5 linked regions of the Macaca mulatta genome follow. The protein of the gene in region 1 interacts with the protein of each later gene in a pairwise test. Links are inferred from orthologs where the notes say so. Each region holds a gene or a part of one and is shown in the gene's direction. Other genes may lie near its edges.

Region 1 (5,385 bases):
GTCCCCATCATAGCAGCACCCCCTAGTCACTGCATTCCCTGTGCACCGTCCTATGTAGACAAAGTGGCGGCACCTATCTTAGGAAGGGCTTGACCTGTGCAGGCATTTGAGAGAAGCCTGCTGCTGTTGCCGAGTTGACCATCGTCTGTCGGTCATTTGGTGGCTGTCATTGTCATTCCTATATTGTTACTGTTATCAATTACTTTGGAAGTGCTGGTGTTAGTGACCTGCTGGGTATAGGTGTGGGGCCGTGTGGTTGGCAAGAGTCTGATCCAGGCTCTTCCCCCTGCTCTGCCAGCTCACTGGCTGGAGACGAGGGCACTGACAGCCTCTGTGAGTTTACACTTCTCGTAGTGAAATGGGTCTCACAGCAATGCCATCTGCTTCCCAAGACTGTAAGGATTCTGTGTGACAGTGAGGGCAGAGCACTTGGCACTTGGCAGAGCACACGGCAAAGCCTCAGCCCTTGTTCTTGCTGCTCATTGATGACAGTGATGACAATGATGGTGACTGGGTTGTGTGGCTGAGCATTTGGACCCCAAGTTTTATCTCCAGCTGACAGGTGGGGAGCTGGGATTTGAATTTGGCTCTGTCTGACCCCATTCTCCCAGGATGCAAGAAATGGGGCCTAGGAGGATCGCCTGAGCCCAGGAGTTCAAGACCAGTCTGGACAACATAGTGAGACCCCTGTCTCTACAAAAAAAAAAAAATCTTTTTAAATCAGCCGACATGGTGGTGCGCACCTGTAGTCTTGGGAGGCTGAAGTGGGAAGATGGATTGAGGCTGGGAGGTCGAGACTGCAGTTAGCCATGATCGTATCACTGTACTTCATCCTGGATGACAGAGCGAGACCCCTGTCTCAGAAAAAAAAAGAAATGGGCCTAAAAGAAAGCCAGACAGGCCGGGCGCGGTGGCTCAAGCCTGTAATCCCAGCACTTTGGGAGGCCGAGATGGGCGGATCACGAGGTCAGGAGATCGAGACCATCCTGGCTAACACGGTGAAACCCCGTCTCTACTAAAAAATACAAAAAACTAGCCGGGCGCAGTGGCGGGCGCCTGTAGTCCCAACTACTCGGGAGGCTGAGGCAGGAGAATGGCGTGAACCCGGGAGGCGGAGCTTGCAGTGAGCTGAGATCCGGCCACTGCACTCCAGCCTGGGCGGCAGAGCGAGACTCCGTCTCAAAAAAAAAAAAAAAAAGAAAAAAAAAAGAAAGCCAGACAGCTGAGCATGCAAGAACTGGGCCTCTGTAGATGAGTAGGTGAATGTGCTGGGCATGAGGCTCAAAAAGATGGGTCCTTTAACAGGAATGACTGCGCACATGTGTGCCCCCACAGAGTGCTGGGTGGAAGGATGGAGTTCCAGAAACTCAGGTTGGAAGTGTCAATGAAGACACCAGTGGTGGGGTCCAGTGCTCAGGCAAAGAAAGCCAGCCCAGGAATGATGCTCCCAGCCACAGGGAAAGTCCCGGAAGTGAGGCCAGAGTGGCAGCCCCCGGAGAGCTTGCTTGGCTCCTGTGGTTGGCCGGAGTGTGGTGTCAGCTCAGCAGCCGAGCAGAAAGGAGGCTGGAGGGAAGGGGGTTACCAAAGGCCTGAACCCACATCCTGGCTCTGCCTCTGATCATCATGATGACCCTGGGCAAATTGTTCTCCAAGCTTTCCCCTCCTCATTTGTGGGATGAAACCAACATCATCCTGGGGTTATGATGGTCTCGGAGGTTGAGCCCCTGTGAACTGTGAGGTGTGACTCAATGTCACTGTGACTGGTTTGTAGGAAAATACAACAAATGGGACAAAGTGGACCCCGCAGAACTGTTCAGCCAAGCTCCCACGGAGAAGAAGGAAGCTAACCCCAAGCTGAACATGGTGAAGTTCCTGCAGGTGCGTGGGGCTGGCCTGGGCATGAGCACACCCGGGCTCCCCACCCTCCACAGCTGTCCTTGCCCACCCTTGCGTGAGTCCTAATCCCCCTTGGACAGGGGGGCCTTTGCTAGCTCTTTCTGTGAGTGCCCCCTGCTGGCCCATGAGGCACCTGCAGGCACCCCCAACACACAAGGCAGTTGCCAGTGCCAACCCTCAGTCCTGGAGAGCAGGCCTTCTGCTTTTAAAATAGCTTGTTTGGGCCGGGCGCAGTGGCTCACGCCTGTAATCCCAGCACTTTGGGAGGCCGAGGTGGGCAGATCACCTGAGGTCAGGAGTTCAAGACCAGCCTGGCTTACACGGTGAAACCCCATCTCCACTAAAAATACAAAAAATTAGCCAGGTGTGGTGGCGGGCGCCTGTAGTCCCAGCTACTGGTGAGGCTGAGGCAGGAGAATGGCATGACCCAGGGAGGCGGAGCTTGCAGTGAACCGAGATCGCGCCACTGTGCTCCAGCCTGAGCGACAGAGCGAGACTCCGTCTCAAAAAAAAAAAAAAAAAAGCTTGTTTGGCTGGGGGTTTTTTCCCCTTAATTTTAAAACAAATGCATACAGATTATGGAAAATTAGAAAGTGCAGATAAGTATAAAGACAAAAAAATTATTCATAATCATATTAGCCAAGACAACTGCTGTTATCATTTAGGGTTATTTCATTGGAACCCTTTTTCTGGGCAGTTTTGGGGTTTAAGATCATGTTGCACTTACACTTTTTTTTTTTTTTTGGTCCAAAAAACATCAATTATAAACTCAATTGTTTGCTGTTGGCTGAGCCAGCCTCACCACAGCCAGCTACCAGTCCTCCTACCTGAGCCCAGGTACCAGTCGTCCTAGCTGAGGTTCAGGGCCTGGGACCAAGCCCTGTCCTGGATGGGAGCACGGGGCAGGTGGCATGGGCTGGGTCTGCAGCAGGTGCATGTGAACGTGTGCTGTGTGGCAGGTGGAGGGCAGAGGCTGCGACTACATCGTGCTGTGGCTGGACTGCGACAAGGAGGGGGAGAACATCTGCTTTGAGGTGAGTATGAGGCTCAGTTTGGTCCTCACTTTTGGCCTTTCTGACGCCAGCCCCAGACTGACACCAGCAGTCACACCATTCCTGGGGCCAAAGGAGGGAGTAAACTGTACTGGTTTAAAAACACCTCTCCCCTCCCTTTATTTTGAAATTCCATAGATATTTTTAACTGCATCGGCTGTATTAAAGGTGGTCAGTTGTGCCTCTGCTTGCTGGGGCCACACAGTATGAGTGAACATAGGAGGGGCGAAATTGGGTGGATGCAGGTTTCAGAATGGGACTGTCATGGGGCAGCTTGGTGTTCAGCATCCTGTGCCCAGCTTGACTTCTCAGGGACCTTGGGTTGATGCTGGCTGATTCCCGACCTCAGCACTGAGCTCCTTTTGCAGGCCTCGCTCTGCTCATCTCCTGCCCCACCCAGGATGCCTCCCGCCTCCAGCCAACCCCGGGAGCCCTGCAGAGAAGCAGGTGGCAGCTCCCTGTGCACACCCCATGCCCCATGCTTGCCCTGGCCATGGTGCCCTCACAGTGGCCATGCCTGCTGGTCTCACTTGGTGCCCTTCAGGCTGTTGTTCCCTATGGGTCGCCCCTGTGCTCCTGTACCCCCAGCTCTCGCCTGTGGCTCAAGAGGTGGTCAGTGAGACAGAGCTGAGGCACCTGGCGTTGCAGTACAGCACCGTCAGCAAATGCGATCACACTCTGTCTCTTCCCAGATTCCCTCCTCCCCTGCAGGGCGGCTCCTCCCTGGGGGCCTTTGCATCTGGGAGTGGAGAATGGGGGCAGCTCATGGGGCTTTCTCCCTTCAGAAATGAAGCCACTTATTCCCAGTAAGGAAGCTGCGTGGCCAGGCTCCGGCGGCGACCCTAGTCCCACTGCACGGCCTTCCTAGTGAGTCTCGGCTCCAGGACCCCTGCTGTGCTTTAGCCCGAGCTGCCCCCACCACAAGCTGGGACCACCCGTGGCCTTCCTGCTCTTGCCCATTTCCTTTCCCCTTCATTCTTTTCTCCTTCCCTGTCTTTTCTTCAGCCTCTTAAAATTTCCACCCACCCCTCCAAGCCCTCCCTCCTAGAAGGCAGGGAATCGGGTCATGTGGGATGGGTCTGGGGACTAAGAGGTCCCTCATGTACTTGGCAGTAGCATTTCCTGATTTGGTGGGGATGAAAGCAGAGGATTAGAAGAGAGAGTGCGGGAGTAAGAAGGGAGTGTTCGAATATGTTCTAGATGGGAGGAAAGGAAGCCATGTGGTGGGGTGGTATGGAGTGCTCAGGGCTTCTGGAAAGCCAGGGGGATAGAGGAGGGTCTGACGGGCAGGAGAGGGGGCTGAGCACACGTGTTCTTTGCTGGAAGGAGCCAGGCTTCACAGTGGGGTGGGGAGCTGTGGCAGGGATCTGGGAGGTGGGTCACAGCTGGCCACTCCCCACCCCCAGGTTCTTGATGCTGTTCTGCCCGTCATGAACAAGGCCTATGGTGGTGAGAAGACCGTGTTCCGGGCCAGGTTTAGCTCCATCACAGACACAGACATCTGTAATGCCATGGCCTGCCTGGGCGAGCCTGACCACAACGAGGCGCTCTCAGTGGATGCTCGCCAGGAACTGGACCTGCGAATCGGCTGTGCATTCACCAGGTGCTGGCCACACCCGCGGAGTCCTGGGCACACCCTCACTCTCCCTCAGCCAGAGACCTGCCTCTACTGGTCCCCCTCAGGAGCCCCTAGGCCTCCCAGAGCCAGGATGAGCAACAGGGGATTTCACCAACCCTGAAGAAGGCCGGGCACAGTGGCTCACACCTGTAATCCCTGCACTTTGAGAGGCCAGGATGGGAGGATTGCTTGAAGTTGGCAGTTTGAGACCAGCCTGGGCAGCATAACAAGACCCCATCTCTACAAAAAAAAAAATTATTTTTTTGAGACAGAGTCTTGCTCTGTTGCCTAGGCTGGAATGCAGTGGCACAATCTCAGCTCACTGCAACCTCTGCCTCCCAGGCTCAAGAGATCCTCCTACCTGAGCCTTCCACTACAGGTGCTACAGGTATGCACCACTATGCCTGGCTAATTTTTGTGTATTTTGTAGAGACAGGGTTTCACTGTATTGCCCAGGCTGGTCTCAAACTCCTGAGCTCTAGCAATCCGCCCACCTTGGCCTCCCAAAGTGCTGGAATTACAGATGGGAGCCACTGCGCCCAGGCTAAACAAAAATTTATTTTTTTGTTTGTTTGTTTTTTGAGACAGAGTCTCACTCTGTCACCCAGGCTGGAGTGCAGTGGCACAATCTCGGCTCACTGCGACCTCTGCCTCCTGCATTCAGGTGATTCTGATGCCTCAGCCTCCCGACTAGCTGGGATTACAGGCATGCGCCACCACTCCTGGCTAATTTTTATACTTTCAGTAGAGATGGGGTTTCACCATGTTGGCCAGGCTGGTCTCAAACTCCTGACCTCAGGTGATCCGCCTGCCTCAGCC
Region 2 (6,130 bases), on another chromosome or scaffold:
CCAGGGAGAAAAGCAACCGTGGCTAAAGGTGAGACCTGGGTGAGAGCAACCATGGCCAAAGGTGAGTCCTTAGCCTTCTGGGGATTTAAAGGACAATGAGATCTTGGCTTTGGTTAGTACTTTCTCACCAACTCTCAATGACCTCACAAACTGATAGACAAGCTTGGCCTTGTTATTCCTGTTTTATAAGGAAACTCACTTGGGGTCTCAGGACTGCTAGGAGAAAACCAGAACTAAGCTGTTCCATCCTCTGGTTCATGCCCTCCCCACCATCACACATCACCAGTGTGAACCCCACTCCATGTCCGCAGACATCATGGCTGTGATAAGCACAAAGCCCGGAGTAAACCATCAGTTTCTCCCTGACTCAAGGTGAAACTTTTTGGAGGATTTGTGGCTCCTAGATGCATGTAAATTTTAGGAATACTAAATGTGAGGCATTTATTTATTTGTTTAGAGACAAAGTTTCTTCTTGTTGCCCAGGCTGGAGTGCAATGGTGCAATCTTGGCACACTGCACCCTCTGACTCCTGGGTTCAAACAATTCTCCTGCCTCAGCCTCCGGAGTAGCTGGGATTATGGGCACCCACCACCACACCCAACTAATTTTTGTATTTTTAGTAGAGACAGGTTTTTGCCATGTTGGCCAGGCTGGTCTCAAACGCCTGACCTCAGGTGATCCGCCCACTTCGGCCTCCCAAAGTGCTGGGATTACAGGCATAAACCACTGCGCCCAGCCTGAGGCAAATATTTAATCTCTTAACCTGATGTTCAGTGGTTGCTATTTAGTTAACATCATATCTGGATTGTCCCGTGGACATTCAAGAGGATGGAAAAGTCTACTATGTTTGGAGAGCAGCAAGGGATAGGGACTATGTCCCTTGTTTCTTTTTCTTTCTTTCTTTCTTTCTTTTTTTTTTGAGATGGAGTTTCGCTCTTGTTGCCCAGGCTGGGGTGCAGTGGCGCAATCTTGGCTCACCGCAACCTTCACCTCCCGGGTTCAAGCGATTCTCCTGCCTCAGCCTCCCGGGTACCTAGGATTACAGGCACTCGCCACCACGCCCAGCTAATTTTGTATTTTTAGTAGAGACGATGTTTCACCATGTTGGTCAGGCTGGTCTCGAACTCCCAACCTCAGGTGATCTGCCCGCCTCGGCCTCCCAAAGTGCTGAGATTACAGGCGTCAGCCACTGCGCCCGGCCGGGGCTGCCTCTTAACGCGAGAATTTCCATAATTTCTACGGAAATGCAAACGTTTCTGGGCTGTGCTGGGCTTTGCACGAGTAATGATTCTTAAAAACATCCGTTCCTTGGCCGGGCGCGGTGGCCCATGCCTGTAATCCCAGCACTTTGGGAGGCCGAGGCGGGCGAATCACGAGGTCAAGAAATTGAGACCATCCTGGCCAACACGGTGAAACCCCGTCTCTACTAAAACTACAAAAATTAGCTGGGCGTGGTGGCGCGCGCCTGTAGTCGCAGCTACTTGGGAGGCTGAGGCAGGAGAATCACTTGAACCCAGGAGGTGGAGGTTGCAGTGAGCCTAGATCGCGCCACTGCACTCCAGCCTGGGCTGGGGACAGAGCGAGACTCCATCTCAAAACAAAACAAAAATCCGTTCCTCTATTGAGACAAAAAAGGAAAAAAAATCACAAGATTCACGTGAAACGGAAAAGCCTCTGCCTTTCAGAACCTTGGTAAAGTCGAACCCCCTCTCCTTTCTGGTTGGGTTGGGTTAGAGAAGCCAGCCCCTGGCACCTGCGCCGCCCCTACCTTCCCACCCTGCGGTGGGGGTAGTTGTTCCTCTGAGCCTGAGCACCTCTTCAGCTGTTTCACTCCCTCCCCTCCCTTGAGTTTCGCATCTCCGCCCCCGCCCAACCCCCCGATTTTTAATCTTGGGGTTTGGAAGGAGGGAGGGGGCAAAAACGGGAGCCAGATGTGTAAGAGTCCTCCGCTCCCGCCTCCTCTCTCCTCTCGGGCTTCCTAAAACCCGGAGCCCTAATCAAGGAGGATTCGGAGCCAGACGGTCGCGGCGAAAGCAAACAACTCGGCTCCGCGGCTCCCCCGGGAGTGGAAGCCAGGAGGGAGGGGGAGAGGAAGCCGGGCGTGCTCAGTAGGCGGGACAAAGTTTTTTTTTTTTTTTTCTCCCGTTTTTTTCGGTCGCAAGTAGGAAGCTTTTTGCACTCCACCACCTCTGGCCGCTGGGAAGACGTCATCGCTTCCGCCCTACTTCCTCCTCCTGTTGGCGGCGGTGAGAATCCAATATGGAGTAAATCGGTGGAGTCGAGAGATGGGGCTCGGACGGGGCGCCCTGCACTGCCTCCCAGGCGCACCTCCCCCGGCCGCCGACCGCTCCCCGGAACCGTGATTGGCCCGGCCCCCCGGGGGCGACCCCGGACCGAGTCCCCCCACCCGCGGCCGGCGCTCTCCTCCTCCTCGCAGCAGTCCCCGCCGCTCCAAGGCGCGCTTGTTTTTCTCCTGCTCTCCCCCACCGCCGTCCCCTTCCCAAATCTCGCCCCCTTTGCCCGCTCCCGAGCCCCCGGAGCCTCCGCCCGCCTCTCCCCACGGCGCTGCGGCGTTCACTCCCCTTGCAGCCTGCCTTTGCACCCCTTCCCCCAAACCTCACCCCGCTCCCTGCTTCCCCTTCTGCTGCGGCGCCCCCATCTCTAGCCGCCCCCCCTCCCCAAATCAGGCGATCTCCGGAGATGTGAAGAAGGGGGGCGAGCGGACAGGAAGATGAAGGGAGCAAAGCTGCCCGCCGCGGGACAGGCGTCTAGGTGAACAAGAAAATGACCGAAGAAACACACCCGGACGAGTAAGTTTGGTCGCGGGGTGGGACGAGGGTGCCCCGCGGGGGCAGCGTGGGGGCCGGGGCTGAGGATGCGGGCGGGGACGCTTATTGGGTGAACTTGGCGTGGGGTGCAGCGACTCGCTGACCTGTCGGGGTTGGGACGCGAGGCTTCCCTGCTTGTTGAAGTGAGGAGGGGGCAAAAACTGCTGCGGGCTGGCGGGCGCACGCCTAGGGTCGGCGGGCTGGTGGCCGCCCCGGGGGCCAAGGGCGTGCGGGTGACCTCCGGGCGGTCCCCGCTCCCTCTCCGAGGACTCACAGCACCCCCCCGCCCCCGAAATCCTCGGCGGCTGGAGCGGAAGACCTGACACCCCCACTCCGGCTTCCCGGGGCCGGTGGGTTTTTGCACAGTGACTTTGTGACTCCCGCCGCGCCGCGAGCCCCGCAGTCCGCTCCTGAGCCCACTGGGGCCTAGGCTCCGCCATTTCGTTTTCTTGAATCGCTCTCATTTGCATACCACATTTTCATTCATAAAAAACACGGCGGAGCGAGAGGAGGACGGGCGCGGGCTGCGCTGGGGTCTGGTGCGCCAGGGTCCCCGCGCGGGCCGGCGTGCTGGAGCCGCCCGAGGGGCCCCGCGGTGCGTGAGTGCCTGTGCACGCGCTTGTGGTCGGCACACGCGTCCTGCGGGGTCAGGCGCCTCGGGGCGGACCTAGGCGAGTGCGGCGGGGGCGTGCGGGGCAGCGCTCTGGGGGCGAGTGTGTGTGTGTGTCCTCGCGGGTGCGCGTGCACGGGCTTGTGCCCGGCCCGCAGGCCCGAGGGGAACAATGCTTGGGGCGCTCCGCCGGAGGGATCCCGGGCAGCCCCGCGCGGGACCCGTGACTGTCGCCAGCCCGGGGCGGAGGTGCAGCTGCCTCCTGCCTCGCGGTCCAGGGGTCCAGTTTGGCATTTTCTCTTCCTGGTCCGAGGCGTTTTCTGTTTCGGGTGCGACGGGGGCGGGGCCGCGGGGCCCGACACCTCAGGTCTTCTGCCTGGGGTCCGAGCGGTCATCGCGCGGCGGCCGCCGCTGCTGCTCAGTGGCTGTGCCCGCCACCAGCCACTTTTTTTTTTTTTTTTTTTTTTGTGAATAAGACGCTCTCCTTTATTGTCACATGATATCCCTCCCCTCCTCCCCTGCACATTCATAAATCCGGAGTCTGCATCGGTTCCTTTCATTCAGTGCTGCCATTAGCCAAGGTAGTGGCGGCGCGGGCTTGGGCTCAAAGAGCCGGTTGGCAGCCGCGGGGACGCGCCCTGGAGGGAGGCCCCGCGCGCGTCTTAGCAGTGGAGTGCGGGCTGCGGGAGGCGTGCTCCAGAGGCCCCAGGTCTTTTGCCCCCCGCAGGCATTGGGCCTCAAGAGTGCTGGGAGGGGAAGTGACTCAGGGCTGGGCGACAGGGAGGCTTGTCTCTTGCAGCAGGTGACAGTGTTGTGCTCTACTCTAAGAAATCTACTCACTTTATTAAATATACCCCCTTTATCCTTTGGCGTCTGCTGTTGCCAGTCTGGGCGGGAATGGGGCTGCTGTTTGGGGAAAGGAATTTCAATTTCCTTCCTGTGAGTCCCCAGGGAACTTTGACTGCAGTAACCCCTGATCTTCCAGACACCCGTCACAGGAGAGGATCCCTGCTGGTGTGCCTGTCGCAGATGTCCCACCACATCTGCTGGTGTTTCTATTTCAGACGTTTTGCTTTGTCTTCGTATATAGCATCTTAAAATGGTAAAATGAAAAAAAAGTTGCGCTTTTAGCGCTGAAATATAGAGAAGGATTATGCTTCTGGGCCTTGCTGCCTTGTGAACGTGGCCAATAAATCAGTATTTTTATGGGCCCTCGATTGTACCTGCACACAGAGTAGCAGCAGTGGCAGTGAGGTTGGTTGCTGTGCTCTGGCCTTGCAGATTCTTGGAGAGGTTTGACCGCTCTACCTTGGCTCCACTCCTTGGGAATACAGGCCTGACCTGGCCCTTTTTGTGGCAGCTTGTCAGCCTTGCATCTTTCTCCATCTGCTATCCAAAGCAGAAGGATTTCGAGTGGGATCACCAGCGAGGAAAGAATAGTTCCATTTTAGGCTCTCAGAGCAAGTTCAGCATGAAGCTGCAGCCTCCACTGCTGTCACAAGTCCAGTTGAGAGGATAGATATTTGAGGAGTTGTAGTTTCACTTAGAGGCTGAGAAAGCCTTGGCATCTTAGCCACTGAAGAAATGGGCTATAGGGGTTATTTTTAATGTGATGACCTTGGCACGAGACTTTACATGCCTGAGAAGAAAGCGACTTCGTGGGCTGTAAACTGCCATGGTAGCTACCGTCTATTATTATGTTCAACGTACCTGTGTAATGACGCATCTGAAAAATTCCTTTTAAGTGTTAGTGACAGTAAGGTTTCTCTCTCTGAATTACAGAGCTTGCTGTGATTGCTTTTTTGTTGTTCAGGTGTTGTTTGCTGCCACTGTCTTTAAGTCCAGAGCTAAAATTATTGTTTGATTAAGGTAGCCATATTTGCTTAGGTTCTTGCTAGATTCCTACTCTGGGTGAATTTTGTTCTATTTTTTTCTTGTAATGATTTTATGTTTGAGGTCTCTCAGATACCTTTTGGAACCAGGCAGGGGTTGTTACTTAAGAGAACTGTGGCATCAAACTGGAGACCTAGGGAAGATGTATTTGTACTTTTGGTAAAATAGACTTGATAGTCTACATATAGTAAAGCTTTTGTGGAATGGTCCAGATAATATGTTTCATTTAGCATCAGAATGCAGTAAATCAGAATCTTGCAAATGGTAAAACTGTGCTTAATTTAAAAACAGTTTTGTTTTCTAATGTTGTTTTCCATGTCAATTTAAAGTTCTTCTAATATATGGTAATTCAGGAAACTCTCTTTGCTCTTGTTGACGATGGTCCCAAAAGATACCTTGCATATAGAAAATACATTGACCATTCTTTCGTTCTCCCCCCCCCACAAAAATGCATGTTAAAATTTACAATTCTACAGACTTTTAAAAATATAATTTAAGAAGTAAAGAGCATCAGCAAACTATTGTAAGTCGTCCTCTGCGCATAGGAGTGGAAGTTTTTTAAAAATTAAAGCATTTGATCATGGCTATGAATGGCTTGGAAATTCGCAGACAAGATAAACCTTCCTGAACCAAGCTCTAACCCTGGAGACATCGAGCTGCCATTCAGCTTTCTCTTTTGTTCCTTTCATGAACTCTTCTCTGTAACTCACTCTTTGCTGGGAATGGATTTGCAGCTTCCCTTTCAGTCATATTTTTCCTAACGTCGAAAGGTTTCCCATTAATAAAACAGGCATAAGTA
Region 3 (4,610 bases), on another chromosome or scaffold:
TTGGACTCGCTTGGGGCCAGTTACCCTTTTTTCTTTCCTGTTGCTCCCTTTTGGAATGGGCCTGTCTATACTATGCCTCTCCCAGTATTGGATTTTGGAACTAGATAACTTCTTTAATAGGTTCACATGTGGAGGAGAATTTGCCTCAGGATAAGTCCTGTGTTGGGTCTCACTCATATCAGATTTAGATGACACTCTTAGATTTACATTTTGACTTTTAAGTTGGTTCTGGAACAAGTTAAGACTTTGGAACTATTGGAATAAAATGAACACATTCTGTGTATGAGAAGGACATGGATTTGGGGGCCAAGGGTGGAATGCAGTGGTTTGAATGTGTCCCTCAAAGTTCACGTGTTGGACACTTGATCCTCAATGCGGCGGTGCTGGGAGGCGGCGCCCAACAGATGTTTGGGTCATGGTGACACCACCCTCATGAGTGGATTCATGTTGTTATCACAAGAGTGGGTTCCTTATAAAAGGATGATTTTGACTCCCTCTTTCTCTGTCTCACCCTCTCTTTTCCCTTCCACAATGTGATGACACAGTATTCCTGGTTATCTATAACTAAGTCTTATTCTATGAATGGAATCCCAACTTCCACAACTTTCCGCATATACTGTTTATCAGGGGACATGTTACTTACCATAGAAATTAGTTTTCCTAAAATTAAACTCTGATCTCCTTGTTTGGAATGTTTTCCTCTCTTTTATCCAGAAGTCAAAAGATATATCCATTTCTAAAGGACCTTACATGCCTCTATGACATCAAAAAGCCTTCATTCACTCAATAAACATTTACCACCAGTGTTCTCTGTGCTGAGTATCATGGTAACAAAAAGAAATGTCATAGGCCATGCCTTCAGGGTATTTGCATTGCATATGGGGAATGACAGAAGTAAATGACTATGATACAGTAGAATGTATCAAATTATGAGCACAAGGGAGGAAATAATGATAAATGTATGGTGTAGCTTATCAGGAAAAAATTATTGAGGAGGAAATATTTTAACTGGTTTTGACACATGAGTAGGAGTTTGCAGAATGAACAAAAAAAAATGAAACATTCCAAGAAGATGAAACAGTTTCAGCAAGTTTGGCAAATTTTATTCTTTACCTCTTTCTTGGCTACCCTAAGACATATTAGGCTTACTTTCTCTTTAATCTTCGACACGTTTTTTGTTTGTTTGTTTGTTTGTTTTAGCTTTTTAATGCTTCTTTTGCGTACTCTGCTAAAAGAGTAATAAGAATGTACACTACTTTATAAGGTTGTATTAAAGAGTGAAAATGAAATAAATATAAGATGTTTAGCACAATGTCTGGTACGTAGTCAAAACTTCACAAGTAATATACATACCTTGAGGGTGTATGGAACTTATCCACATACTATACATTTTTATTGTAGTTGTTTAATGAACATAATTGTGATTCCTTTCATTTTTGCCAAATTCTGTTTCTTATACATGTGTCTTATACAAGTACCTGCAGGAAAAAGATGAGGGTTTATCCGTTCTATACCCAGAGTACCCAACAGAATGTCTTGGATGCACATTATTGAAGGCTTAATAATTATAAACATTGTCTACATATAACAAATGCTTTTGTCAAATAGAAATTCATCATGCAATTTTGATGATCAAAGATAAAACTTCCTACTCCTAATGCCTATACTGTAAGACATATACAAAAATGTGTTTTTACTCCTTAAAGGCAATGAGTCATGGCTAAGTACTTTCACTTGAAGTGGTGGAATAAGATCTGACACAGAGTTTATAACTTCCTTGGGATCTGACCATCTCCTCAACCGTTCAAGAAGCATACACGGAATCAGAGTCATCTTCATTACAGGTGGGACATCCTTCTCCCGAATGAGTCCTTCCTTCTAACTCCTTTCCGACATCTCATCTGACCAGGACATTCTTTGACAACAAAAGATACATTCACATTATAAAAAGTGTCCCCCATGATTTGTAGAGAGCTATCTACAGGTAGGAGGGAGAATCACATTTAGAAATAAAGTGTCAGAGTCATGTGTCCAGCGGTTTGTAAAAGACACTGCATAGACCAGGGACAAAGGTGACCCCCACTAGGGAAGAAATATGACAAGTGTTTCCAATAGAAACACAGGAGCACAGCAGGAAAAGGAAATGGGTTATTTTTTGAATATTTAAATGGGTTAGTTTTGGAGTATTTAACTAGAAACACACAATGATGTAATTACATGATTAAGTTTTCCACGAGGTAAATAATAACAAGGAAATAATGACGTGGTGGCAATGGGCCTTCAGCAGGGTATAAAGGAGGCTATGGACCCAGAAGACTTCCAAACACAAGAACTTCAATCTCTTGGAAACCCACCCAGATCCTCCCCGTTCTGACACCATGGTCAACTCCTGTTGTGGCTCCGTGTGCTCTGACCAGGGCTGCTGCCAAGACCTCTGCCAGGAGACCTGCTGCAGCCCAAACTGCTGTCAGACCACCTGCTGCAGGACCACGTGCTGTCGCCCCAGCTGCTGTGTGTCCAGCTGCTGCAGGCCCCAGTGCTGCCAGTCTGTGTGCTGTCAGCCCAGCTGCTGCCGCCCCAGCTGCTGTCAGACCACCTGCTGCAGGACCACCTGCTGCCGCCCCAGCTGCTGTGTGTCCAGCTGCTGCAGGCCCCAGTGCTGCCAGTCTGTGTGCTGTCAGCCCAGCTGCTGCCACCCCAGCTGCTGTCAGACCACCTGCTGCAGGACCACCTGCTGCCGCCCCAGCTGCTGTGTGTCCAGCTGCTGCAGGCCCCAGTGCTGCCAGTCTGTGTGCTGTCAGCCCACCTGCTGCCGCCCCAGCTGCTGTCAGACCACCTGCTGCAGGACCACCTGCTGCCGCCCCAGCTGCTGTGTGTCCAGCTGCTGCAGGCCCCAGTGCTGCCAGTCTGTGTGCTGCCAGCCCACCTGCTGCCGCCCCAGCTGCTGCATCTCCAGCTGCTGCCGCCCCTCTTGCTGTGAATCCAGCTGCTGCCGCCCCTGCTGCTGCCTGCGTCCAGTCTGTGGCCGAGTCTCCTGCCACACCACTTGCTATCGCCCAACCTGTGTCATCTCCACCTGCCCCCGCCCCTTGTGCTGCGCCTCCTCTTGCTGCTGAGCCCCCTGCCCTGCTTCACCTCCCCCTTCACTGCTGGCCCACAGATGCAGACCCTTCTACTATGCTGGCTATTAGGACACATGGAGTGGGGTTGATGTCATTCAATAGGATGGACCTCATGTTTCCAATGAGCCCATCACCATTTCACTGACTCTGAGAATATTCTGGTTCATTTTAAGCTCCCTCCCTTGCTTTCTTTTTCTTCCAGTGGTAGCACCAAATAGAAATTAATTTGTAATCCACTAACTAAGAAATTATTCCAATCCTCTAATTTCCTTATTTTCTTTATCACTTTGAGGTAGAGATTCTCCTTCTCAGTGAGGTAGACGTTATCTGCAGGCTCAGTTTTGTCACTGATGTTGCACCCTCAGACCCAGGGGCCCAGTTATATTCTGTGTTTCTCCTAGTGTGAATTTCTTATGCTTTGTAGCATCTCTGCTTTCTAATAAACTTTTCTGCACGTAAGAATTCATTGGTATCATTCTCTATTGCTTTCATAATTATTTTACTGATTCCCTAGCAATTATATTTTACACAAAGATACAGGAAGAGCAACCCATGTTGAAATCACTTTGAAGATACATGCTATATAAAATATACATAATTTAAGGTATTGGAATAAAAGTGCTGTGTGTATATGTGTATGTGTGTGTTTGTGGGTGTGCACAGGTGTTTTAATATCCTAAATTAAGACAGATTTAATTCATGCCTTAGCTCTTGAAACACATTTTATCTTTAACACGTTATATCTAATTGTCATACTATTGTCCCTATTTTGACAAAAAAAGATAAAACCAAATTTCTGAAAAGTAGACACCAATGAAAGAAGGGAAATCTTCTATAAAGAATTTAATGTACTCAATTCATTTCACTCAATAAACAACATTTTGGAATTTATTATTAAAAAGTGGACTTTATTTCCCAGTGAGTTCTGCTGAGAAAAAAAAGCATATTGAGCTGTATTTCATCTGGATAGCATGAAACGATATCTATTCTGACTGTGGTCTCTACAGGTTTATGTTATAATTTAAACATCTCCACACTTAACATTTTAACATATATAAACCCAGCAAGGCTGAAAATTTCAAGACTCACTTTTGTTTTTAAGAATCATTTTATTGGAATTAGTTCATAGCTTTGAGCAGGTCGCAGCTGGGGTGCATATCCTAATTAGAATTCCCAAGAGTGGTGCCTTCATTTGAATCTGAAGTAATATCGTAAGTGATTATAACTTGGCATTGTAGTAGGAGAACCTGCTCTTGATGTTTTTACTTTTATTTGACTATTATCAGCTCTGAAGTGACCCTATAAGCTATTGAGCCAATCAAATTTAAGATGATTTGTTCAGATATCATTGATAGCTTCACATTTTTTCTGAGGCCTTAAGAAAATGTTGCCCAGATGTTAATCACAGAGTTATGATGCCTTTTTAAACATGAGGCAGGATAAATAAGGTTAGGAAGCTGTGAAAGGAAAATAAATATCGGGTCCCCC
Region 4 (5,983 bases), on another chromosome or scaffold:
GTCCCAGCTATTCAGGAGGAATCGCTTGAACCCGGGAGGCGGAGATTGTAGTGAGCCGAGGTGGTGCCACTGCACTTCAGCCTGGCGACATAGCAAGACTCCATCTAAAAGAAAAAAAAAAAAAGAAAAAAGAAAAAAAAAAAGAAAGAAAGAAAAAAGAAAAAAGGGCTATATTTGCAGGACTAATTTCGAGGCCATTCTGAGCTCAGGCGATCCTCCCGCCTTGACTTACCCAAAGTATTGGGATTGCAGGCATGAGCCACTGCGGCGCATGGCCCGTTTTTATCTTTATTTATGTATGGGGGAAACATGGAGGCTGGTATGTGTGGGGCAACATCTCACAAATACAGACTCTTAAAATCAAGAGCATGAAAAAGAATATACGGAAGACAAGTGTCTCAGATTACACAAAGCATCTTTCTTGACAGGGAGTCGAAAGCAGGTCGCAGCGAGGCAAACGCGGAATCCTAACCCCTAAATATCCCAGCAACGTGGGAGTGAATCAATTAGGTTTTGACGCTCACAAACGCCTGGGGTCATCCTGCGGCCTCACCCCGGTTTCGGCAAACCATGTTGTTCCCTCCAGCACAGCAAGTTTCCGACACGGGGGCAGGCCGTCTGGTAAACAGAAAGTGCCTAATATGTGCTGCCCGTGGGCGTGTGGGTTACAGCAAAGGATCATGCATGCAGAACCCGCGCTGCTGGCCTGAAGGAACTGGTCCGCAGGGACCTGCTTCTCATTCTTGCTCGGAGAGTTAGCGAGGGTTGTGAGAACTCTGCTCCGGGGCTTCCACACAACGATCAAAGACCACCCAGTTAAGCCCAAGCTCTAGCCCACCCTTAACTAATCCGCTACCCACTAGATCTTGGTCCAGAAGATACCGTTCGTGCACTTAACTAACACGGCTTGCCTTACCCTTTCCAAAAGGAACTCCGCCCAACGTGGGGCTCGAACCCACGACCCTGAGATTAAGAGTCTCATGCTCTACCGACTGAGCTAGCCGGGCAGCTTGGCCAACGTTATAACTTTGTCTCTGAAGACGGAGGTTGCCCGCAGAGGTGTAGGCACGTTTCCACTGTACAAGTACTAAGAAGCGCCTGCGCCTGGCTCTGTTCTAGGTACTAGGGCCGAGGATCTGAAATCTACGGATTCCTTTGCATGTGATGGCTGCATAGGCTTCAGAAGGGAAGAGCAAGAGATTAGGTGAGGTGTAAAACCTGAATTTACACTGCGAGAATTTATTAAGGACGTGGTATGAGTTCGTGTTCCTCCGAAGCGCAGGCCACACATGTCCTTCCAACCGGGTGACCTGGCCTCGGGAGAGAAATTCTCCTGAACAGGCCCAAAAAAAACGTGTTTCCGCCCGGTTTCGAACCGGGGACCTTTCGCGTGTGAGGCGAACGTGATAACCACTACACTACGGAAACTGCCTGAGCTAACGTTCCTCCAGCATCGTCCTGAAGATACACGTGGCTGCGAAGGCCAGGAAGGCGCTAGGCCCTCGCCCTCGTGGGACAGACCCAGGGACCCCTGCCGCGGCCGGCTAAGTGGTGTCCAGGTTCTGGAGCCAGACTTGTCTACCGCAGCCGGGTCCGCAGCTCCTGTAATGGCCGAGCATAGTTCACCCACGAGTGTTCGTGGTTTTTGGCGCGTTTGATCTGACATCCTCAGAGGCCTGACCAGGCCCCTCTAGGAAGCACGACGTCCCCCTGGAGTTTTCCCGCGAGCCGCCTCTCCGAGAGCAGGGTAAGTAGGTCCTGCAGGCCCAGCCCTGGCGTCACGCCGTGTCTGGCACTCACTGGAGATTCTGTACATAAATCATTGCCTCGTCATTTTCCTCGCATCAAACAACATTTATTTGTTTTTTATTATGTATCGACATCAAATCTCTATAAAAATAAATTTTAAAGAGCTATTTAAGCACCAAGTATTATTTCTACTGCACAAAGCATCTATTTTTGCGGAGATGCTGTGCGAATGTAGATGTAATGATTCGTCACCACTTCTTTACTTCTGGGCAGTTAGGGAAGTTCATCTAAACCATGAGACTGTGTCCGGTTGGCAGTTTCCACCTTGGATGCGGAACGCCGACTACAGTTGGGGAAGGGTTGGGCGTCTGCGGCCCGATCGGCCAAGCGCTTTCTCAGGCCCCGCCCGGGGTCCGAGCCGTACGACCCTCTGAGTCCTCCACAACAAAGTCTTCTGCCTAGAAGGGCCGGAAGTACTTCAGGGCGCTCCGCGGACCCACCCCCTCGCTTCCGGCATTGGCGGTGCGGCGTACCGGCTGCAGTCGGCTGTGTCGGGAGGGTAGGATGGCGCCTGGCCGATGCGGTCATAGCACCGAAAGCAGACGGCCACCAAGCGCTCCCCCCACCCCCCGAAGTTTCTCCCCAGCGGCGGGGGATGGGGGTAGGCGGTTCCTCTGTTCTTTCTGCGTTCGCCGCGGTCCCGCACCACAGAGACGTGGGCCTCCACCGTCCTAGCCCTACCGCCCTGTTCTGTAGTGCGGGCTAGAGCGTCTCCTTGCCATTTCCTGTCGCCCTGGGGCCCCGCGGGGGAAAAAGGGGGAGTAGCACGACAGCGGAGGGAAGTCGAGAGCTTAGGTGGTGTGTAGACGCCGGAAGTATTGGGAAGGAGGCCGGAAGCTAGGGGCGGGGCCAGGAAGTGAGGAGGGGCGGGGGTTTATGAGGAGTCCAAGGAGCATAGGGGCAGATTTGCACTCAGAGCCACCTGAGGGACTTGGCGGTGGTGCCCAGCACTGTCCCCTCCCCTCGCAGAGACGCGGTTGTCGTTTGGGAGTAGGGAACACTGTGTGGCGGGGTGGGTTGGCGGGAGGACATCTCTCTGGCTGCCCTTGGGGCGAGGTGTGGAGGGGCAGGGCTGGGGGTGGAGCCGGGTCGCCAGGGCGTCGGTGGGGAAGACCCCCGCCCCTCGCCCCCCCACCGCACCTCTACACTGGCTGGCTGGACACTAAGATGGCTGCCGTTGCCATGACACCCAACCCTGTGCAGACCCTTCAGGAGGAGGCGGTGTGCGCCATCTGCCTCGATTACTTCACGGACCCCGTGTCCATCGGCTGCGGGCACAACTTCTGCCGAGTTTGTGTAACCCAGTTGTGGGGTGGGGAGGATGAGGAGGACAGAGATGAGTTAGATCGGGAGGAGGAGGAGGAGGACGGAGAGGAGGAGGAAGTGGAGGCTGTGGGGGCTGGCGCGGGGTGGGACACCCCCATGCGGGATGAAGACTACGAGGGTGACATGGAGGAGGAGGTCGAGGAGGAAGAAGAGGGTGTGTTCTGGACCAGTGGCATGAGCAGGTCCAGCTGGGACAACATGGACTATGTGTGGGAGGAGGAGGACGAAGAAGAAGACCTGGACTACTACCTGGGGGACATGGAGGAGGACCTGAGGGGGGAGGATGAGGAGGACGAGGAGGAAGTGCTGGAGGAGGATGAGGAAGAGGATCTAGACCCCGTCACCCCACTGCCCCCGCCTCCAGCCCCTCGGAGGTGCTTCACATGCCCCCAGTGCCGAAAGAGCTTTCCTCGGCGGAGCTTCCGCCCCAACCTGCAGCTGGCCAATATGGTCCAGGTGATTCGGCAGATGCACCCAACCCCTGGTCGAGGGAGCCGTGTGAGTGATCAGGGCATCTGTCCCAAACACCAAGAAGCCCTGAAGCTCTTCTGCGAGGTAGACGAAGAGGCCATCTGTGTGGTGTGCCGAGAATCCAGGAGCCACAAACAGCACAGCGTGGTGCCATTGGAGGAGGTGGTGCAGGAGTACAAGGTGAGAGAAGTACCGAGAGAAGATGGGAGTTTAGTCGGGGGCGGAGAGGAAGTAAGGGGAGCTGAGGAAAGGAAACATCTCTTCGCCCATCAAAGAACCTCATGGTATTGATGAGCTGAGTTTGCTTGTCTAAGCACTTACTGCCAGCAAGGTGGGTTAGAATGAGAAGGATTCTGTACGCAGAGCAGATGCAGTGAAGACGACCAGTCTTCATTTGCTTTGATGGCTTCCTCAAAGCCAATAGAGCAAAGCCGGTGATGCCAGATCAGGTCTCTAGAACTTTACCAGCAGTCTGGCTTGCTTTCTGGTGAGTCTTAAGTCTGTCCTTGACGGAGACACCTAGAGATGGAAAGAACTGGGGGCTTCAAAGGACAAGGAAAGGCTCGGAAGCAGGAACAGAGAGATAACCGCTAGTGTCAGTGTCAGACCCAAATGCCCTGCCCTTGCCTCCCAGTGGGTTCCCCACCCACCACGATGTGGTTTGGTTCTGCCTTCAAGGACTTTTGTTGGCTCTGTGTCACTCTTCTGTACTGACTAGAAAAGAGCTTTTCAGTCAGAAGACCTGGCTCTGCAAGTCGCACTGTCAAATCTTGTTTGTCTCTGTGTGTCTTTGAACTTTAATTTATCCAGGATTGATAGTTAATATTCTCTGGACATTTGTATGTATACCAGGCACTGTACTAGGCAATTTTCATGGACCGTCTCTTTAAAACCCAAACAACACTGTGAGTTTGATATGTTTTCCATTCCCATTTTATAGATTGGGAAAGAGAGTCAGAGGCTTTAAGTACCATACAGAGGACCACAGAGCTTCAGTAATAATTGACTTAGTTATTTGCTGACCCTTCCCCTGGTGTATACTAACAACGCCACCACCATTTGGATGTCTGTTGTTTGACTTTTCTGATGTGACTTTCTTGGAGTCTGATTCTAGTTTGACAAATATCTTGCCCCTACTTCTCATTTTGACTTTCCTTTGGACATAGGTAAAGGAGATTTGTCTGCAAGGCAGCCAGCACAAATAGCACTACTTAGTGAAGGCCTGGATGGGTTTGGAGCAGTGGGACCAGGAGGAGGAGAGGGTAGCCTCTGTGTGGTCTGCTCAGAGCTTGTTTGTTTTATGACTCATGTTTTCACACCTGATTTCCTGCCATAACTTCATTTAGGTACTGTTTTTGTTACCCCAATTTTAGAGTAATGTGTGTAGGACTTCTCAGCCCTGAGTGGTACAGCTAGACAAACCTACATTACTTCGTCACAAGTAACTATTGCTTCTACGGAGTGATTTTTTTTTTTTTTTTAATTTTTTGAGACAGAGTCTCACTGTGTTGCCCAGGGTGAAGTGCAGTAGCATGATCTCGGCTCACTGCAACCTTCACCTCCCGGGTTCAAGTAATTCTCCTGCTTCAACCTCCTGAGTATCTGGGATTACAGGTGCCACCATACCCGACTGATTTTTGTATTTTTAGTAGAGATTGGGTTTCGCCATGTTGGCCAGGCTGGTCTGAATTTCCTGACTGCAGGTGATCCACCCGCCTTGGCCTCCCAAAGTGCTGGGATTACAGACATGAGCCACCATGCCTGGCTACACGATGATTGTTTCACCTGCCTGATTGTTGGAATACTAGGAAAGGTTTTGAAAAATACAGTGGGTCCTTCCACTAGAGTTTGTGAATCAGTGAGTAGGAGAAAATCTTTAAAAAGCCCAGTCTAGCATGGGGACCACTGCGTTGGTAACGTTGCCTAGCTATTCGGCCCTACATTTTTAGCAGAGATTGTGAGCTCCTGTTGTCCTTTCTTTTTATCTTCTCAGTTCCTAATTAACCATAGTCATCATATCATGTGTGGTCACTTTCTGACCAGGAACCCAGGCCAGACTATCCATGGACATTCCACCCCTTCTCTTTCACCTCCCCCTGTAGGACTGCTCCAAAGAGCTTCTGAAACTGGATTTTAATTTGCATTGGCCAAATCTGTTCAATGCCAGCTGCCTGAAAATCCCATATTAGGTCCTGAAGTAGGTGAGGAATTAAAAAAAGTCATAATCTCTTTGCTTTTTCTTTTATTTATTTATTTTTTGAGACAGAGTTCCGCTCTTGTTGCCCAGGCTGGAGTGCAATGGCACGATCTTGGCTCACCACAACCTCTGCCTCCTGGGTTCAAGCGATTCTCCTGCCTCAGCCTCCCGAGTAGCTGG
Region 5 (6,046 bases), on another chromosome or scaffold:
TTCACTTAGCATAATGTCCTCAAGGTTCATCAACTTTGTAACATGTGACAGTATTTCCTTCTTTTTTTAAAGCTGAATAATATGTCCTTGTGTGTATATACCATATTTTCTTTATCCATTCATCCCTTGATGGACATTAAATTTGCTTCTACCCCTTGAATGATGCTGCTATAAGCATGGGTTTGCCAGTATCTTTTTGAGATCCTGTTTTCTATTTGCTTGGCTATATACCTGGAAGTGAGATTGTTTAATCATATAGTAGTTCTATTTTTAATTTTTTGAGGAACCTCCATCCTATTTTCCATAGCAGCTACACCAGTTTACATTCCCTTGGGTAGTGTCTGTACCATTTTACAATGGTGTTCAAGGGTTCCAATTTCTCCACAACCTTGTTAACACTTATTATTTTCTGTTCTAATTTTATTTTTTGTAGACACGTTCTCTTCATGTTACCCAGGCTGATCTCTAACTCCTGGCCTCAAGTGACTCTCTTGCCTTAGCATCCCCTCCTGAGTAGCTGGAATTACAAGTGTGAACCACACCTTGCTGTATTTTCTTCTGTTTTTTTTTTTTTTAAATTTTTAAATTTTTATTTTTATAGTGACCATCCTAATGGATGTGAAATGATATTTCATTGGGGTTTGACTTGCATTTCCCTGACAATTAGTGATGTTGATCATCTTTGCATATGCCTGTTGGCCACTTGTATATCTTCTTTGGAGAAATGTCTATTCAAGTCTTTTGTCCACTTTTAAGAGGTTTTTTTTTTTTTTTTTTAATTGAGCTATACAAGTTCTTTATACATTCTGGATATTAGCACATTATCCGATATATGGTTTGCAAAAGTTTTCTACCATTTTGTAGGTTGCTTTTTCACTCTGTTGATTGAGTCCTTTCCTGTGCAGATGTTTGAAAGTTTTATGGTCCCATTTACCTATTTTTGCTTTTGTTGCCTGGACTTTAGGTGTTACTCACTACCTTTTACTTCTCTTAGGGGCCAGACTTTTTTTTTTTTTTTTTTTTTTTGAGACGGAGTCTCGCTCTGCCGCCCAGGCTGGAGTGCAGTGGCCGGATCTCAGCTCACTGCAAGCTCCGCCTCCTGGGTTCACGCCATTCTCCTGCCTCAGCCTCCCGAGTAGCTGGGACTACAGGCGCCCGCCACCTCACCTGGCTAGTTTTTTTGTATTTTTTAGTAGAGACGGGGTTTCACCGTGTTAGCCAGGATGGTCTCGATCTCCTGACCTCATGATCCACCCGTCTCGGCCTCCCAAAGTGCTGGGATTACAGGCTTGAGCCACCGCGCCCGGCCGGGGCCAGACTTTCATCAGGGCAGCCTGGTTGTGATTTTTGCCTTGGTTTCCACCTCAGTGATCTCTAGCACATTGTTTCACAGGAGTGTTGACTGATTACTATTGGTTTCCTGAAGGGATATACCAAGAGATACCTCAATTTTTCTGGGCTTGTTCTTATGCACAATGATGGCAGGCGTGTGTGTGTGTGTGTGTGTGTGTGTGTGTGTGTGTGTGCGCGCGCGCGCGCGCGCGCGCTGGGGCAGGTCCTCTCATTTTCTCATTTCTTTCCCCTTGTTCTCTCTTTTTGCCCCAAGTTAGAAACAGAGTCTCTTATGGGGCTTCCTGCTCTTTCCCTCTCCCATCCACCTTTTGAGTGGGGGTCACTCCAGACCAATGGGAGGATGCTGGATTCCAAATGGACCAATTAGCTTATTAGGGACCTGGAATACCTGGATAGCTAGCATCTGCCTCATTGTCCTTGTGGTAACGACCCTCTTGTTTTACTGGTCAACAATTTGAAGGTACAAGAAAAATCCTGCTTTTTTTTTTTCTTTTGATGGCTTTAATCCACCTTCACAACTTCTGCCCGAGGCCAATAAAACACAGCCATTCTCTCTTTGTAAAAAGAAAGAGGGGTTGGGTTTCCTTCAATTGTCTGCCCTTTTCTATCTCCTCCACTATTTTTGTTTTACTCTGTAGTTAACTTTGCATAGAGCAGCTTCATGGAGAGGATCTGTGCGGTGGACCCGGGCACTCTCTTCTTATTACCGGTTGCAAAGGCCTCTTCCTTGTTCTAACCTGGGGTTTGTGGGGCTGGGGGACAGAGGAGTGGGGAGTGGGAGAAGAGTTTAGCCATAGTCTTCCTTCTGCATTTCACACACATTCTGCTCTCTCTGTCGCTCTGTCACTCACACACACACACACACACACACACAACACACACATACACACACACACACCCGCCCAGGTCCCTCTCTCTGTGTCTTCCTTCAAGATGACAGGGCGCTGGAGAAAAGGCTGCTGGAATCAGCTGGTAGGTACAGTAGTAACCCGAGCCCCACCCACCGGCTGCCTTTGCTTGCTCAGGTTTCTCCGGTCACTCCTGCCAGGGGAGAAGACATGTAAACGTGCCTCCAGAGGAAGGGCTGGGGGAGCTGGGAGTGGCGGGGGCGGCGGAAGGTGAGCCTGGGAAGGTGTCCGAGCGCCCCTTCTTCTTTGGCCCTTCCCAGTGCTCCCTTGGGGTGTCAGCCCCAACCCCGTTTGCCCCCACTCCGCCTCCCTTTTGGAAGGGATTGCCTTTTTTTTTCCTCTGCGGCGGCGGAAATGACAGTGTGGTGCTGCCGTGGTGTCATGGTGCTGCCCCTGGACTGAGGGGCGAAAACTCTTAACTTTAGCTCGGGAGACCCAGCCGCGGTAGCATCGCGGCCGCCGTGCTATCCCCTGCGGGGCGCGCGGGCTGGCGGATCCCGGCTGCTGCGCGGCGTCGGCGACGGTAGCGGCAGCTGCAGCGAAGGCGGGCGGCGGCCTAGAGTGGTGGCGGCGGCGGCGGCGGCGACCGGGGCCCTGGAGCTCGCGCCGGAGCCCGAGCTAGCCCGCTGCGGAGGCAGACGAGCGCCCAGCGCCCTCGAGCGAGCAGAGGAGATGGCTGGCACCTGGGAACGCTATGGGTAAAACGCGCCCCCTCGCCGCGGCCCTGGAGGTCGAGCGTCGTCGCCCTCGCAGGGCTCGGCCCTGGCTCCGGCCGCTTTTCAGGTGCCGCCGGGGCCCGGCGTTAGCCGAGGGCTCTCGGGCTCGGCGGGGCAGGGTGATGGGGCCCGCGAGGCTCGAGACGGCGACGGGGGCCCCAGATCAGCTCCGGCTCCCAGTCATGCTGTTGGGGCTCGGGTTCCTGCCACTGCCCTCCTGGGACAGAGTTTGCACTCCGGGGTGCGGGGCGGGGGCGGCCGAGGCCTCTGCGCAGCCGGGCCGGGCCGGGCGCGGGCAGTCGAGCGAATCCTCCGGCGCCTGGGCGCGAGTCTGGGAAAGGGCACGGCCGCCTTCCCACGCTCCCGCAGCCGGCAGCCTCTTCGTCCCCGGCGTCGCCCCTTGGCCGGCCGTCTGCCGGGCGGTGCTGTCGCAGCAGCCGGCGTGGCTGCGGACGCCCTGCCGGCGGGGAGGCCCGGTGAAACTTAATCCCTTTTCTGCCAGGGGAGCGATCCTCGAGTCTCCGTCTGGATGGTTCCTTATTTCTGGCCTAGCTGTGAAACCAGCTCTGTGGGGGAGAGGGAAAACTTACATATGTCCACAGGACAGACTGCGACGCAACCAGGGAGAGTGGGGATTTTCCATTCCTGCCTTGTAAGAATTAAGTAAATAACAGCAGAGTAGATTTACAGGAATATTACTGGTGATGATAAGGTTTAGGTTACTTAGCACTTCGTGTGTTGCACATTATTTTTCAGAAGTGTTGCTTCTTAGAGCAGGAAATTGAAATCCTGGAGTCGTTTTACTCTTTACTTTCTCTGTCTCTTCCACTGTCCCCTACCGTTTTCATGATCACTCACCTTCCTATGTCACAACACTTACATGACTATGGAAATCCCCCACTAGAGCGCCTTGGACCCCAGGCTTTCCCCATCAACCTGTGCCCTCCCAGCCTCCCAGCCATGCTGCATCTTACTTCTTCAACCACTTTGCCTTTTGAGGATTTCTGAGTGTGGGGCGGATAGATGGTGATGGTTGTGTGTCTCTGAGGATGAGCCCTTATAAAGGAATATATTGGAAACTAAATAGAGAAGTACCGTGTGTGGGTTGATCCCTCTGATTCTCAACTTGGGCCAGAAGGGCTGCCTTTAACCCCATTCTGCTCCGTCCCAGTACTCTAATCAGTTCTCTGGCAATATTCCAATAGAAGGGAGTTGCTGAATAGGGAGTTCTCCTCCCCTACTTTTCTTCTGTTTGGGGAGTGGTTTCATTCTACCCCAGATGGTTAGCTTCCCCCTCCCCACCCCCCCGACACTCACATCCCCCTGTCTGTCTCCTCTCATGACTGTACTGAGGGAGAAACTGTCTTTGCTATTTTTATATATTCCTGCCCAATCAATGAACTTAACATGGGTATATAATGTGAATTAGATTTCTCCTGATTGCTCCTCACAACTTGATTCATGTGTTTGATAAAGTTTGGATATTTATCCCTGCCCAAATCTTATGTACAAATGTAATCCCCAGTGTTGAGGTGGGGCCTGATGGGAGGTGACTGGATCATGAGGGCAGATTTCTCATGAATGGTTTAGCACCACCACCTTGGTTGACTGTGAGTCCTTGTGATAGTGAGTAATCTCTCCTGAGATCTGGTTGTTTAAAAGCGTGCGGCACTTCCCCCCAGCTCTCTTTCTCCCTTGCTTCTGCTCACACCATGTGAGAATCTCCTGCTCCCCATTTGCCTCCCTCCATGATTGTAAGCTTCCTGAGTCCTCCTCAGAAGCAGATGCTGGCATCACACTTCCTGTACAGCCTGCAGAACTGTGACCCAATTAAACCTCTTTTCTTTTTTTTCTTTTCTTTTCTGTTTTTTTTTTTTTTTTTGAGAAAGGGTCTTGCCTCGGGCTTAAGCAATCCTTCTATCTCAGCATCTTGAGTAGTTGGGACCACAGGTGCATGCCACCACACCCAGCTAATTTTTGTATTTTTTGTAGAGATGGGGTTTTGACATATTGCTCAGGCTGGTCTCGAACTCCTGAGGTCAAGCGATCTGAGGGCCTCACCAAGTGCTGGGATTATAGGCAAGAGCCACAATGCCCAGCCTACCTCTTTTATTTATAAACTACCCAGTTTCAGGTATTTCTTTAAGGCAATGCAAGAATAGCTAATGCAGTGGTTAAAACACAGGTCCAGGAGTCAAGAAGATCAGAGTTCATCCCAAATCTGATGTTACATTGGCTTATGGCTTTAGGACATTCCTATGACTTTTCTTTCTTAGTTGGTGCACTTGTGTAAAAGCTATAATATTGTGTACTGGGTATTGTTAGTCTTGACTTGGTCCTTTGAAGATGAAAGGGTTCTGTAAACCCTCAGCATTATAATTTTTTTTCCCCTTTGAGATGAAGTCTCGCTGTGTCACCCAGGCTGGAGTGCAGTGGCGTGATCATGGCTTGCTGCAGTCTTGACTTCTCTGGCTCAAGCAATCCTCCTATCTCAGCTTCCCTAGTAGCTGGGACTATAGGCACACACCATCACACCTAGCTAATTTTTGAATTTTTTGTAGAGACAGGATTCACCATGTTTCCCAGTCTGGTCTCAAACTCCTGAGCTTAAGGGATCCACCTGCCAAAGCCAAGTGTTGGGATTACAGGTGCGAACCACCACAGCCGGCCAACATTATACTTTTCAAAGAAAGCACTTCCTTTACCTTTTACTGAGTTAGTGGATTGACTGGGTGTAAGTAGGAATCTTAGCTTACTGAAAATCTTACTTTAGCATTATTAGCCTCCCACCCCCAGAGTCAAATCTTATCATTGTACTTAGGTCCTAAATCTGTTTTGTCTCCAATACATGTTCAACTGAATGAAAACATACATACAACTAGGCATACAGAGTAATAATGACCATTTAAGTTGGGGCTTGAATCATATCTAATGCACTCTAACCTAACAATCTGAGTCAGACTAATTTGAAGACATAACCTCACCCATTTTTAGCCTATATGAGGGCAGTTTGTTAGTTTCTAATGAAAAGTGGCATAAATAATTTGGGGAATGGCTATATAAGCATAA

Evidence for each region. The genes of interacting proteins can lie anywhere in the genome.
Region 2: the proteins of TOP3B (region 1) and SPRED2 interact in binary tests that used the Homo sapiens proteins (3 or more experiments, as listed by UniProt). The link is inferred for Macaca mulatta from reciprocal best matches to the Homo sapiens genes TOP3B and SPRED2.
Region 3: the proteins of TOP3B (region 1) and uncharacterized protein LOC703872 interact in a two-hybrid assay, tested with the Homo sapiens proteins (2 studies listed by BioGRID and IntAct). The two-hybrid records come from large-scale screens. The link is inferred for Macaca mulatta from reciprocal best matches to the Homo sapiens genes TOP3B and KRTAP4-12.
Region 4: the proteins of TOP3B (region 1) and TRIM41 interact in binary tests that used the Homo sapiens proteins (3 or more experiments, as listed by UniProt). The two-hybrid records come from large-scale screens. The link is inferred for Macaca mulatta from reciprocal best matches to the Homo sapiens genes TOP3B and TRIM41.
Region 5: the proteins of TOP3B (region 1) and MID2 interact in binary tests that used the Homo sapiens proteins (3 or more experiments, as listed by UniProt). The two-hybrid records come from large-scale screens. The link is inferred for Macaca mulatta from reciprocal best matches to the Homo sapiens genes TOP3B and MID2.

The regions. Positions count from the first base shown.
Region 1 is NC_133415.1:31,019,536-31,024,920, forward strand, and holds part of TOP3B (DNA topoisomerase 3-beta-1), read left to right. Parts: intron 1-1,771; coding exon 1,772-1,878; intron 1,879-2,855; coding exon 2,856-2,930; intron 2,931-3,733; exon of another isoform or gene 3,734-3,842; intron 3,843-4,333; exon of another isoform or gene 4,334-4,354; coding exon 4,355-4,551; intron 4,552-5,385. UniProt on the Homo sapiens protein: Releases the supercoiling and torsional tension of DNA introduced during the DNA replication and transcription by transiently cleaving and rejoining one strand of the DNA duplex.
Region 2 is NC_133418.1:59,259,970-59,266,099, forward strand, and holds the start of SPRED2 (sprouty-related, EVH1 domain-containing protein 2), read left to right. Parts: upstream 1-2,408; 5' UTR 2,409-2,784; coding exon 2,785-2,810; intron 2,811-6,130. UniProt on the Homo sapiens protein: Negatively regulates Ras signaling pathways and downstream activation of MAP kinases. Recruits and translocates NF1 to the cell membrane, thereby enabling NF1-dependent hydrolysis of active GTP-bound Ras to inactive GDP-bound Ras.
Region 3 is NC_133421.1:65,465,299-65,469,908, forward strand, and holds uncharacterized protein LOC703872, read left to right. Parts: upstream 1-2,200; 5' UTR 2,201-2,378; coding exon 2,379-3,116; 3' UTR 3,117-3,188; downstream 3,189-4,610. UniProt on the Homo sapiens protein: In the hair cortex, hair keratin intermediate filaments are embedded in an interfilamentous matrix, consisting of hair keratin-associated proteins (KRTAP), which are essential for the formation of a rigid and resistant hair shaft through their extensive disulfide bond cross-linking with abundant cysteine residues of hair keratins.
Region 4 is NC_133411.1:190,264,057-190,270,039, forward strand, and holds the start of TRIM41 (E3 ubiquitin-protein ligase TRIM41), read left to right. Parts: upstream 1-2,261; 5' UTR 2,262-2,685; coding exon 2,686-3,786; intron 3,787-5,983.
Region 5 is NC_133426.1:114,595,706-114,601,751, forward strand, and holds the start of MID2 (putative E3 ubiquitin-protein ligase MID2), read left to right. Parts: upstream 1-2,324; 5' UTR 2,325-2,955; coding exon 2,956-2,959; intron 2,960-6,046. UniProt on the Homo sapiens protein: E3 ubiquitin ligase that plays a role in microtubule stabilization. Mediates the 'Lys-48'-linked polyubiquitination of LRRK2 to drive its localization to microtubules and its proteasomal degradation in neurons.